2 linked regions of the Sus scrofa genome follow. The protein of the gene in region 1 purifies or fractionates together with the protein of each later gene. This does not show direct contact. Links are inferred from orthologs where the notes say so. Each region holds a gene or a part of one and is shown in the gene's direction. Other genes may lie near its edges.

Region 1 (5,361 bases):
GATTCCACATATAAGTGATATCACGTGGTATTTGTTTTTCTCTTTCTGACTTACTCTGCTTAGTATCAGAATCTCTAGTTGCATCCATGTTGCTGCAAATGGCATTATTTTGTTCTTTTTTATGGCTGAGTAGTATTCCATTGTGTATATGTACCACATCTTCTTAACCCATTCATCTGTCAGTGGACACTTAGGTTGTTTCCATGTCTTCACCTTTGTAAATAGTGCTGCTATGAATATAGAGGAGCATATATCTTTTTGAATGATGGTTTTGTCCTGATATATGCCCAGGAGTGGGATTGCTGGATCATATAAATGGTAGCTCTATGTTCAGTTTTCCGAGGCACTTCCATGCCCTTCTCCATAGTGGTTATACTAGTTTACATTCCCACCAACGGTGTAGGATGGATGTCTTGGATGACTGCTCTTTTTTTTTTTTTTTTTTTTTTTTTTGGTCTTTTCTAGGGCCGCTCCTGCGGCATATGGAGGTTCCCAGGCTAGAGGTCTAATTGGAGCTGTAGCTGCCGGCCTACGCCAGAGCCACAGCAACACGGGATCCAAGCTGCGTCTGTGACCTACAGCACCGCTCAGGGCAACGCCGGATCCTTAACCCACTGAGCAAGGGCAGGGATCAAACCCGCAACCTCATGGTTCCTAGTCAGATTCATTAACCACTGGGCCACAATGGAAACTCCTCGGATGACTTTGAAAACATGTCCCAAAGCCAACTTTTCATAAATATTTTGGGTAACTGCAAAAATAGCTTGTCCTGGGACATTTATCCCGTGCCGAAACTTCCTCTAGTGTGAAGATGATTTGGCCGAGAAGAGGAGGAGCAATGAGATCCTGCGCAGGGCCATCCAGACCTACCAGGAAGCGGCCAGCCTGCCGGACGTCCCCGCAGACCTCGTGAAGCTGAGCTTGAAGCGACGGTCAGACAGACAACAGTTTCTAGGTGAGATGGCTAAGAATCTGCTCAGTAGCAAATGGTGCGCTTTTATCTTGAAAAGCCTGACGGCTGTGTGTACTTGTAGAAAAGTTTAGTTACATGGAAGGAAACCTGAGTATTATAACTCATTTCAGGCAGTTTATCTGATGGTGACAGACTGAAATAGCAATCCTAATCTTCATACTGGCAAAGATGCAGATGGTATTTTTGCCGCCAACCCACCCCACACACATTTTACAGATGAGGCAAATGGAATCTTGAGAGGTTGGATAATTTGCCTAAGGAATCATAGCTAATAAATTAATAGGTCTGGAATCAAGAGCTCCTCCTATCATCCCAAACTCTTCTCTTTCTGAACTATCACCAACTGGTTCACGGAGGCTAAAAGCATCAGTGCAGTAATTTTTTTTGTGGCCCCAGTCCCCCCGGGCCAGGGATTGAATCTAAGCCTCAGCCGTGACCTCTGCCTCAGTTGTGGCCACACCGGATCTTTTAACCCTGCTGCAGTCGGATTCTTCACCCACTGGACTACAGTGGAAACTCTGAGTGCAATAATTTTTCTGGAGGAATGGTGGTTCTAAGCCCTCTAAAAAAATTTTACCTGTTGGAGTTCCCGTCATGGCGCAGTGGTTAACGAATCCGACTAGGAACCATGAGGTTGCGGGTTCAGTCCCTGCCCTTGCTCAGCGGGTTAATGATCCGGCGTTGCCGTGAGCTGTGGTGTAGGTTGCAGACGCGGCTCGGATCCCGCGTTGCTGTGGCTCTGGCGTAGGCCTGCGGCTACAGCTCCGATTAGACCCCTAGCCTGGGAACCTCCATATGCCGCGGGAACGGCCCAAGAAACAGCAAAAAGACAAAAAAAAAAAAAAAAAAAATTACCTGTTGAGTTTTTTACTTTATACCGTAGAACATGATAGGGAAAAAATGTTCATCAACAAGCAAATTTGCAAATTCTTTGAACAGAGCCGCATAAAGCATCTACTCTGACTGACCCAGGTTCCCAGGGCCAAAGGCAAGCGAGACTCACTTTATTTTAACCAGGCTAGTGGTGGGTTCTCTCTCACCCAGAATGCCCTCAGTGTGCCGGGAGGGGAGACTAAAGCATGTGTAACTGCTCAGGTGGGCTCTCTGCTGGCTGGATAGGTTATGTAGGTGAATTATCTCAGTGTCACTAGAAGAGCCCCATGAAAGTAGTGTTCAAAGCCAACTGAACCTTGTATCAGTTTTCCGAGGGTTAGAATTAAAGGGAGTTGTGTCGCTTTGGTAGATGAGTTAGAAACTGGAAGAAATAGCCCATTAGACATATTCATAAGGGCTAGTCCAGGGGAAGAAAAATGCACAGCACACAGAGCGGATGGAAAAGGCAGGGCTGCGGCTCCATGCACGCACGCACCTTGGGTGCGCAATCAGTATCACCAAGCTGTCCTCTTTCCGCAGGCCTCTGATGTGGCTCTGTTTGGCACGGTGGGTTTTTTACATTAATTTTTATTTTTAAAAAGAATACATAGGTGTTCCTGTTGTGGCTCAGCCGGTTATGAACCTGACGAGTGTCCATGAGGATGCAAGTTTAATCCCTGGCCTCACTCAGTGGGTTAAAGATGCGGCATTGCCATGAGCCGTGGTGTAGGTCACAGACATAGCTCGGATCCCGCGTTGCTGTGGCTCTGGCGTAGGCCCGCAGCTGTAGCTCCAATTGGACCCCTAGCCTGGGAACCTCCATATACCGCAGGTACGGCCCTAAAGAAAGAAAGAAAGACGTAAAATATCTTTCATCTTGATTCCTGGATTTTTGGTGCCCTTTTATTAAACTCTGCACTAACTGTCAGCCTCATCACCCTATATAGCCCTGGAGAAAGATGACCTGTGAGTAGGTCTGACCTTCTTTCGAAACAGTCCTTCAATATTTGAATCTAGTCTTCTCTCTGAATGAGAATGAGACGGGGAGGGAATCCGACACAGACAAGGTGGTTCGTTCCTCGGAGGCAGCATGGAAGGAACAGGGAGCATGTGGCAGCAGGACAAAATCTCACCTGGGCCTTTGCTGTGGTTCAGCTGGGGGGAGTTTAGAGGCAGAAGGAAAGTGTGAGCCTAGGCTGGGCAGATGAGAAGGAAGGGTCCAGGGAGGGGGAGTCAGATTTATTCATGAAAGAAAGAATGGCTGAGCAAACCACCCTAGGTCGCCAGTAATGGAGAGTGGGTCATGGGGTAAAGTAGCGGTATTTTATGCCAGATAGGTTTTCTGTTAGTGAGGCATCTAACTGCAATTAGCTTTTTTTTTAAATTATTAACGTATAGTTGATTTACAGTGTTATGCCAATTTCTGCTATACAGCAAAGTGACCCAGTCATACCTGTGTATACATTCCCTTTCTTAGATTATCTTCCATCATGGTCTATCCCAAGAGAGCAGATAGAGTTCCCTGTGCCAGGCAGGAGGATCTCATTGCTTCTCCTTTTTAAATGTAATAGTTTACGTCTACTAACATCAAACTCTCAGTCCATCCCACTCCCCCCCCCCAAAAAAACCTAAATGCCATTTGCAGGCATGTGGATGCAACTAGAGATTCTCATACCAAGTGAAGTAAGGCAGAAAGAGAAAGACAAATACCGTATGATGTCACTTGTACATGGAATCTAAAATATGGCACAAACAATCCTATCTGCCTTAGCTTATTGATGGTCCTACCATCTTAGCTGATTTTCAGTTTGTCAGCAAAACCCTAGTGGTAATTAATCTCATTATGTATACTAGTCTCATTTGGAAAACTTTCTGTTATACTTGTCTTTCCAGCTATGATGAGGAGTAATGACGCCTGGCCCCTGAAATCTTAAATTCCATAAGAGAGCCTTAAAAATGAATTGAAGCTAGGTTTTCATGACATATGTGCGCATAGTATCTTATCGTCCACCAGAGGGCGCCCTAATACCGAACGATGCCTCCTTTGCCTCCATGACTAGGTCGAAACCCAGAGAGAGAGCACCTCAGTGCCTCCTCAGGTTCCATGGAGGGTGCTGGACCCTCTATGAAATCTATTAGATTTTTTTATTTACCTGTTCTCTATGCATAATTTTAAAGTTAGTCATAATAAACCAAAAATATCCCAGAAAAATACTTTTTAAGTAAGGACTTGATAACTGAAACTTTCTTAAGAAGGAATTTGACATCAAAGGATAAATGTTGATGATGAATTTAGAGAAAAAGAATATATATATATAATACATATAAAAAACTGGGTAACTTTGATGTGCAGCAGAAATTGACAGGACATTGTAAATCAACTATAGAAAAATTAAAAAGAAAAAGAAAATAAGAATGCCTTTAAAATATTTATCATCAGTATTATATTCAGTATCTTCTTATGGGAGCTACTGATGCTTTGGCAGCTGCAGAATGAAATCCTAATAGAGACTTAGCTGTCAGTATACAGTCAGATTTAAGCAGGTCTTCAGGCTCTGTTGAATAGTCTCTTATAATGTGTAGTCTCAATACAAAGGTGAACATAATCTGTCTTTATTTCTACTGTTTTTTTTTTTTTTTTCTTTCCACCGAATCAGGTCACATGAGAGGTTCCCTGCTTACTCTACAGAAGTTAGTTCAACTCTTTCCTGATGACACTTCCTTAAAGAATGACCTTGGCGTGGGGTACCTCTTGATAGGAGATAATGACAATGCCAAGAAGGTTTATGAAGCGGTGAGCAAGCAGCAATGTGCTATTAACTACATCGAATAATTTGAATATGAAGTTCTAATGTTACTTGCAAATTGCATTTAATTCTTCCTGTCTCTTACTCTATTTTATATTCAGTTAAATAGAATTTAAGTATTATTATGGTTGGCTATCCTAAGTTTTGTTTCATCCTTTCCCCACTTCATCAGAAGATTTTAGATTTTAGATGACCCTTGGTACATCAAAACCTTCAACTACAATTATGATATTTTAAAAAATGATGTATTTATCAGTCCACAAATAGGCTTTCTAAAAGTGTTCTTTATGATAGGAAGAGGAACTCAAAAGCTTGTGAACTTAAACTCATGACCTGAAAAACACATAATCTTGTTCTTCTTTTCACTCAAAGTCCAAACTAGAGAGAGACTACACAACACAAGACTTTCGGACCTATGGACTAAATCACTCACCTTTCAGAGGGCATTGACTGTTTGATCCTACAGCAAGGATACCTTTAAAAAAAAAAAGTCGGAGTTCCCGTCGTGGTGCAGTGGTTAACGAATCCGACTAGGAACCATGATGTTGCGGGTTCGGTCCCTGCCCTTGCTCAGTGGGTTAATGATCCGGCGTTGCCGTGAGCTGTGGTGTAGGTCGCAGACGCGGCTCGGATCCCGCGTTGCTGTGGCTCTGGCGTAGGCCGGTGGCTACAGCTCCGATTCGACCCCTAGCCTGGGAACCTCCATAT
Region 2 (6,131 bases), on another chromosome or scaffold:
TGGGAACTTCCGTATGCCACAGGTGCGTTTCTAAAAAGAAAAAAAGAATGGATGCTCAAGGGCTTTAGAGGTTGCCCAGTGCTAATATAGCATTACCCCAACTGCCTTTGTCTATTTCCCAGGAGCCCAGAGTATTGTGCCTTCCTAGGGATGGGGAGCAGTACGCACAATGATTTGTTAATTGAGTAGGCCCCTGAACTGACTTCATTGGTTCTTCATAGATCCCCTCTCCATTTCGAAAATAAGACAGGAGTTCCCATCGTGGTACAGTGGGTTAAAGATCCAGCGTTCCCATGAGCTGTGGTATAGGTCGCAGACATGGCTCGAATCTGGCATTGCTGTGGCTGTGGCTGTGGCCGGCAGCTGTAACTCTGATTCGACCCCTAGCCTGGAAACTTCCATATGCCTTGTGTGCAGCCCTAAAATGCAAAAACAAAACAAAACAAAAATAAGCCAACTGAAGTCTGGAGTGGGTGACGTGTTTCATGCATTCATTCGACAGATTTTTTTTTTTTTTTTTGTCTTTTTGCCTTTTCTAGGGCTGCTCCCATGGCATGTGGAGGTTCCCAGTCTAGGGGTCTAATCAGAGCTGTAGCTGCTGGCCTACGCCACAGCCACAGCAACGCGGGATCTGAGGCGCGTCTGCAACCTGCACCACAGCTCACAGCAACGCTGGATCGTTAACCCACTGAGCAAGGGCAGGGATTGAACCCGCAACCTCGTGGTTCCTAGTCGGATAAGTTAACCACTGAGCCACAGTGGGAACTCTCAACAGACTTTTGAATGAGCAGCTACCCTGGATCAGACACTGGGAATGCAAAGGCGAAACCCCTGCCATCACAACCCATTAGGAGGAAAGTCGCACAAAGGTAAGTATAACGGTGGATTAGGAGTGAAAGCTAGTATTGACTGGGTACTTACTAAGTGCCAGACACTGATGTAAGTTCTTCATGTATTTTACTAATTCAGTCCTCCTCAAACTCTATCAGCCGGGTACCATTATAATGCTTGTTTGTAGGTAATGTATGGTGACTGCTTAAGGATTCATAAACCCCAGGGAAGGTTTCCTGAAGGACTAGGAATTAGCTAGGTAGCAAAGGTAGGTCGGAAGGCAGGGCCATTCCAAGACCAGGGAAGGTGTGGATGCCACCTACTGGAAGTCTCTGAAGTATCCCTGGCTGGGGCCAGGGCTTGTCAGAAAGTTGCAGGAACACACAGGATTCAGTCTAGAAAAGAGAGTGGTCCATATCCTACAGACAGCTGGAGGTTTGAAGGGTTTTAAGCAAAGGAGAGACTTGGCTAGATTTTTAGAAATATCATGTGGGCAGCTGGGTGGAGGTGGATGAGAGGTAGAGACACTGTGAGTAGTAATCCAGGCGTAAGTTGCTGGTCCCAGGGCTTGGGGAGGTAAGGAGGAGGTGAGAGAGAGAGGCAAAGTTTTCCGGACGATGATGATGATTTGGGGATTGTTAGTTAAATAGGGGACAGAGCAATTTTGAAGGACATCTAGTTTCTGCTCCTAATCCAGAAGAATGGGGAAAATCTGGTGAGGTAAGTTTTGGATGTGAGCTCCTCCAGCCCCCAGCCTTTTTTTTTTTTTTTTGTCTTTTTGCTATTTCTTGGGCCGTTCCCGCGGCATATGGAGGTTCCCAGGCCAGGGGTCCAATCGGAGCTGTAGCTGCCGGCCTAGCCTAGGCCAGAGCCACAGCAATGCAGGATCCGAGCCGCGCCTGCAACCTACACCACAGCTCACCGCAACGCCGGATCGTTAACCCACTGAGCAAGGGCAGGAACCGAACCCGCAATCTCATGGTTCCTGGTCGGAACCACTGCGCCACGACGGGAACTCCAGCCCCCAGCCTTTTTGCCTTCTGGCGTTGCCTGAGGCTACTGCCAGCCGGCGCCCTTCCCGCCACCCGGATACCCAGCTGCTCAGGGGGCGGGCAACAGAAAGAGCCTGAACCAGGAGTTCCCATTCTGGCGCAGAGAAAACCAATCCGACTAGTATTCCTGAAGACACGGGTTCCAACCCGCTCAGCGGGTTGGGGATCTCGCGTTGCAGTGAGTTGTGGTGTAGGTCGCAGACACGGCTGGGATCCCGCGTTACTGTGGCTGTGGCATGGAGAACTTTCATATGCCGCGGATGCCCTAAAAAAAAAGAGCCTGAACCGGCGCCCTCGGCCGTGCCCGGGACAGCAGTGCGCCATCCTGTGCGCCAGAGGGCGCTCCCGAACATGCTCTGGCCGCTCTGGCCCAGCCTGTCTCAGTGGCCGCGGAAGGTGACGTGGACACGGAAGTGGTCGTCGTCGCGGCGGCACCGGTGGGAACGGGGTGCGGGGCTCAGAGTGCGGCCGGCGGGCGGACGGTCGGCGGTGATCTCGCACCTGCGGCGGCGGGGGACGTAGGCTTTGTCGGTTGAGTGCGCGTCCCCTCAGTCCACGAGCGGCTTCTCAGCCTTTCTCCTGCCCGTCGGAGCCCCGGGGCCGGGACCCGTTCAGCCGGCGTCACCATGACCAAGGCCGGTAGCAAGGGCGGGAACCTCCGCGACAAGCTTGACGGCAACGAGCTGGACCTGAGCCTCAGCGACCTGAATGAGGTCCCTGTCAAGGAGCTGGTCAGTACGGTCCCTCGAGGCCCAAGGCGCCGGTCCTCGACTGGCGCTGGCCCCTGGTGGGGGGGGGTCTCCTTCCTTCCCAAGCTTCAGTTTCCATGGCTTAAAACGAGGTGGGGGAAGTGGGACTAAGTCCTCGGGGAGGCCGCGTCCAGCCCCAGCGTTCTTCCTGGGATGTACACGTGTCACTTTGGCGCAGGTCCAGAAGATGGGAGGTTAGCTGCTGGTGTAGCCATGGGCTTTTTACGGGTCAGGAGTGAATCTTCGTGCATTTCAAGAGCTTTCAGGGAACTTCGCTCCGTGCCCGACCCAGAGTAGGCGCCCACGGAGAGATTGCTTGATGTTTTGGGAGAATGAATGAACAAATGAATGAGTGACTCGTCAGAGTAGGCCTCCGGGTAGACCTGGGTGTGGCTCAGAACCAGGCCTTTCTAGGAAGCGACCAATCCCAGCTGGCTGTCCCAGCCTTGAGGCGTCCTTCCTTGAGAGTGAAATGTCACTGCTTGGTTGGCAAGGTCTCTTCCCAACTCTGAAACTGGCGGGAATCTGCACCAGGGTGGCCCCCCCCCCCCCACTCCCACAACCAGGAAAACAGGCTGAGGCCCAAGGGACATTACCTGACTAGTTTGTTGCCAAAGTGAAGTTAATGTACATCCTTGCTTTGCCCACCTAGTTCCCCACCCTTATCCCCCACAGTAGCGTCGCTTTGGATGACCTGCACTTTCGTCACTGTCTCTAACTGATCATATTTGCTTTTGGCACTTGGCCCAGTCTTCCCTCCACCTTGGCTGTGTAGTATCCAGGTTAGAATGGGATTCCCAGTTCGTAGATCAGCTGTATTGCTTAATGGCTTAGTACCCTTGGCAGGCTAGTTAACCTTTGAGCCTAGATTATCCTCCTTTATAACACGGTGATAGTTGTTGCTATCTCATAGGGCTGTTGGGAGGACTAAATACAATTGTAATGTAAACTACTTGGCAGGTAGCAAATGCTCATACATGTAGGTATTACCAAGGTGTGCTTCCCATTGTAATAGCTCAAACTTTTTTAGGTCGTCAGATGTCATTCTTGGGACTTTCTGACATTTGGAAAGTGCAGAGTTGACCCAATATCCTTAACCGAATATTTGCCTTCTTCCTGGCCCCAGGAAGATGGCCAGCCATGTGTCAGCCTGGCCCTAGGACTGCCATCTGAAAGCACTTACTCCAGGCATCTGGTTGACACAACATCGCCCCCGGGAGACGGAAGGATTAGTTTTGCTGAGCTTCTCCAAGCTGAACCCCATGGGAAAACAGAGCTGGGATGTGAGGGCCTTATTTTACTTTGCACTCACTCATGTACTCATTCATTCAGTCGTGGATCAGCCAACGGGTATATGGAGAAGAGCCTTGACCTAGAGAATATGGAAATCACAAAGCTGTTTGACAGAGTCCCTGCCCTGAACCTAATCGGGAGCAGTACTAGAGGGAATAGTAGGAGTGCCATGGAGAATTTCTAAGAATCTGTTTTCCTTTCTTGGAAAGGAATCCCTGCTCTTTGCATTCATCTCTCTGTCCTGGTTGACTCTGACTGGCTTATTTTGCCTTTCCTGTCTCCAGGAACATTATACTTTAGAGGTTTTTTTTTTTTTTTTTTTTTTTTTTTTTTTTTTTTTTTTAAGGTCTTTTCTAATCGTGGGGACTTTCTCTGGAAATTGCTTCATTAGCAGATGTCACTGAATTGTTCCATGTGTTGATCTGACGTTTTGTTCTCATTCCCTTTCCTAGGCTGCCCTCTCCAAGGCCACCATACTGGATCTGTCCTGCAATAAACTGACTACTCTACCGGTAAGACTGGCAGGGAGCCTTCATGCTTCTCCTTCTTATTTGGCGGAGTTACATCATAAGGCATAATTTCAGGATAGGCCTGCCAGCAGGCTACCACTAAATTGGAGTGTGTTGGGGGTAGAAGCGGGGAGGTTCATCTCAGTAGGAAGGGAAGCATGGTAGAGGCCGCTTTCTTTAAGAACAGTGGGAAAGTCAGGCCACCAAAAACGAAAGTCACCAGAACATTTGGCTGAGTCGCTTGTTGGGGTCATGTTTTTTTTCCTGCCTTATTTTATTCCTTTGAGAAATAGTTTACCTCCCTATTGCAGTAGAAGAGGCAAGAGACGATTCTGTAAGTTGCTCTGCATTCCAGAGAGAATGCTGTTTCTGAACAGCCTCTCCGTGCATCTTTTGATGGGGAATGGGAAAAAGCATAGTTCTGTGGGACTTGCCATATCATCCTCCCGACACCTGAATTACTTGAGATAATGTTTCCAGTCGAATCCTTCTGATTTTTCTTGTGCAACTTCTCCTGCTTCTTTTGCTCCACCTGTGAAAGCGTAGGAGTCATTCAGCCCCCTCGACCTCTCCTGGGTATGGGCTGGTTTCTCCTCCATGGCGGTGGTCCTGCACCGTCAGGCCTAAGTTTGTTGTCATTATTGCCTTTTCCATCCATTACTCTGGCCGGTCCACTCTGCACCATACCCCGTCAGGCTCTGGCTCAGGAATTAAGTCCCAGAAGTTGGCAGTTGTTCATTGGATCATTAGTCCATTTCCATCTTACCATTCTCCTGGGCCTCACTTATTGTCTGTAACATCTTCCTGCAGCTCATCAAGAACTGTTTCTAACATTGGAAAAAAGCATCTAAGATCCCCCTTCTTCCAGGAAGTATTTTGTGTCTAGTTAAAGAAGGGCAGCCGTTCCTTGCAACCTGCCGGACACTTTGTCACATTGTCACTCGGCACCCCCAAGTGCACTTTGCAGTCTGAGTTTCTTCATTTGTCTTGCTCTCCTCTGCAGTACAGATCCACTGGCATTTACAGGTCCCCAGAGAACACAGCTAGTGCCTCATTAGCTGAGGGTGGAGCATCCCTTCAGCTGGGGGCTGAGCAAAGGCTTAATGACGAGAGGGATGTTTTGAACTGTGCTGAAGAAGAGCCAGCATATGGGTAGGATGGGCCCCAGCCCGCTGAGTCAGTCACTCAGAGAATGCTCCTTGGGCACCTGTACTAAGTACTGTGCTGGGTGCTGCAAAGAACAACAAAGAATAACACTAGGTACGCACGGGGCACATGATCTTTCTAGAAAAACGGATGGTTGCACCATGTTTGGACAGCTCCTATGAAAGGTGGCCACAGGGTGTTCTGGAGGATGGGTCGGAGGGAGGGCCGAGGGTAAAGGAACCCACACTTCGTGCCTCCTTCAGGCTAAGCCCTGTGCATATGCATCTCACTGCCCACCCCAGGAACGGTGCTTGCTCTTTTCCTTCGAGGTGGATTGGCGCCTGGGTGCCTCCGACCTGGGGGCCCCTGGACTGTTACGTCTGGGTGTGTGTGTGTGTGCTCAAGACCTCGTGTTCTCTCTTTGGGTCCCAGTCGGAGTTCTGTGGCCTCACACACCTGGTGAAGCTGGACCTGAGTAAGAACAAGCTGCGGCAGCTGCCGGCGGACTTTGGCCGCCTGGTCAACCTCCAGCACCTGGACCTCCTCAACAA

What was found. The genes of interacting proteins can lie anywhere in the genome.
Region 2: the proteins of ASPH (region 1) and LRRC59 purify together in Homo sapiens (co-immunoprecipitation; 3 studies listed by BioGRID and IntAct, with this or other methods). This does not show direct contact. The link is inferred for Sus scrofa from reciprocal best matches to the Homo sapiens genes ASPH and LRRC59.

What each region holds. Positions count from the first base shown.
Region 1 is NC_010446.5:72,048,204-72,053,564, forward strand, and holds part of ASPH (aspartyl/asparaginyl beta-hydroxylase), read left to right. Parts: intron 1-804; coding exon 805-955; intron 956-4,503; coding exon 4,504-4,640; intron 4,641-5,361.
Region 2 is NC_010454.4:26,690,439-26,696,569, reverse strand, and holds the start of LRRC59 (leucine-rich repeat-containing protein 59), read left to right. Parts: upstream 1-2,302; 5' UTR 2,303-2,509; coding exon 2,510-2,614; intron 2,615-4,377; coding exon 4,378-4,437; exon of another isoform or gene 4,438-5,709; coding exon of another isoform or gene 5,710-6,012; coding exon 6,013-6,131.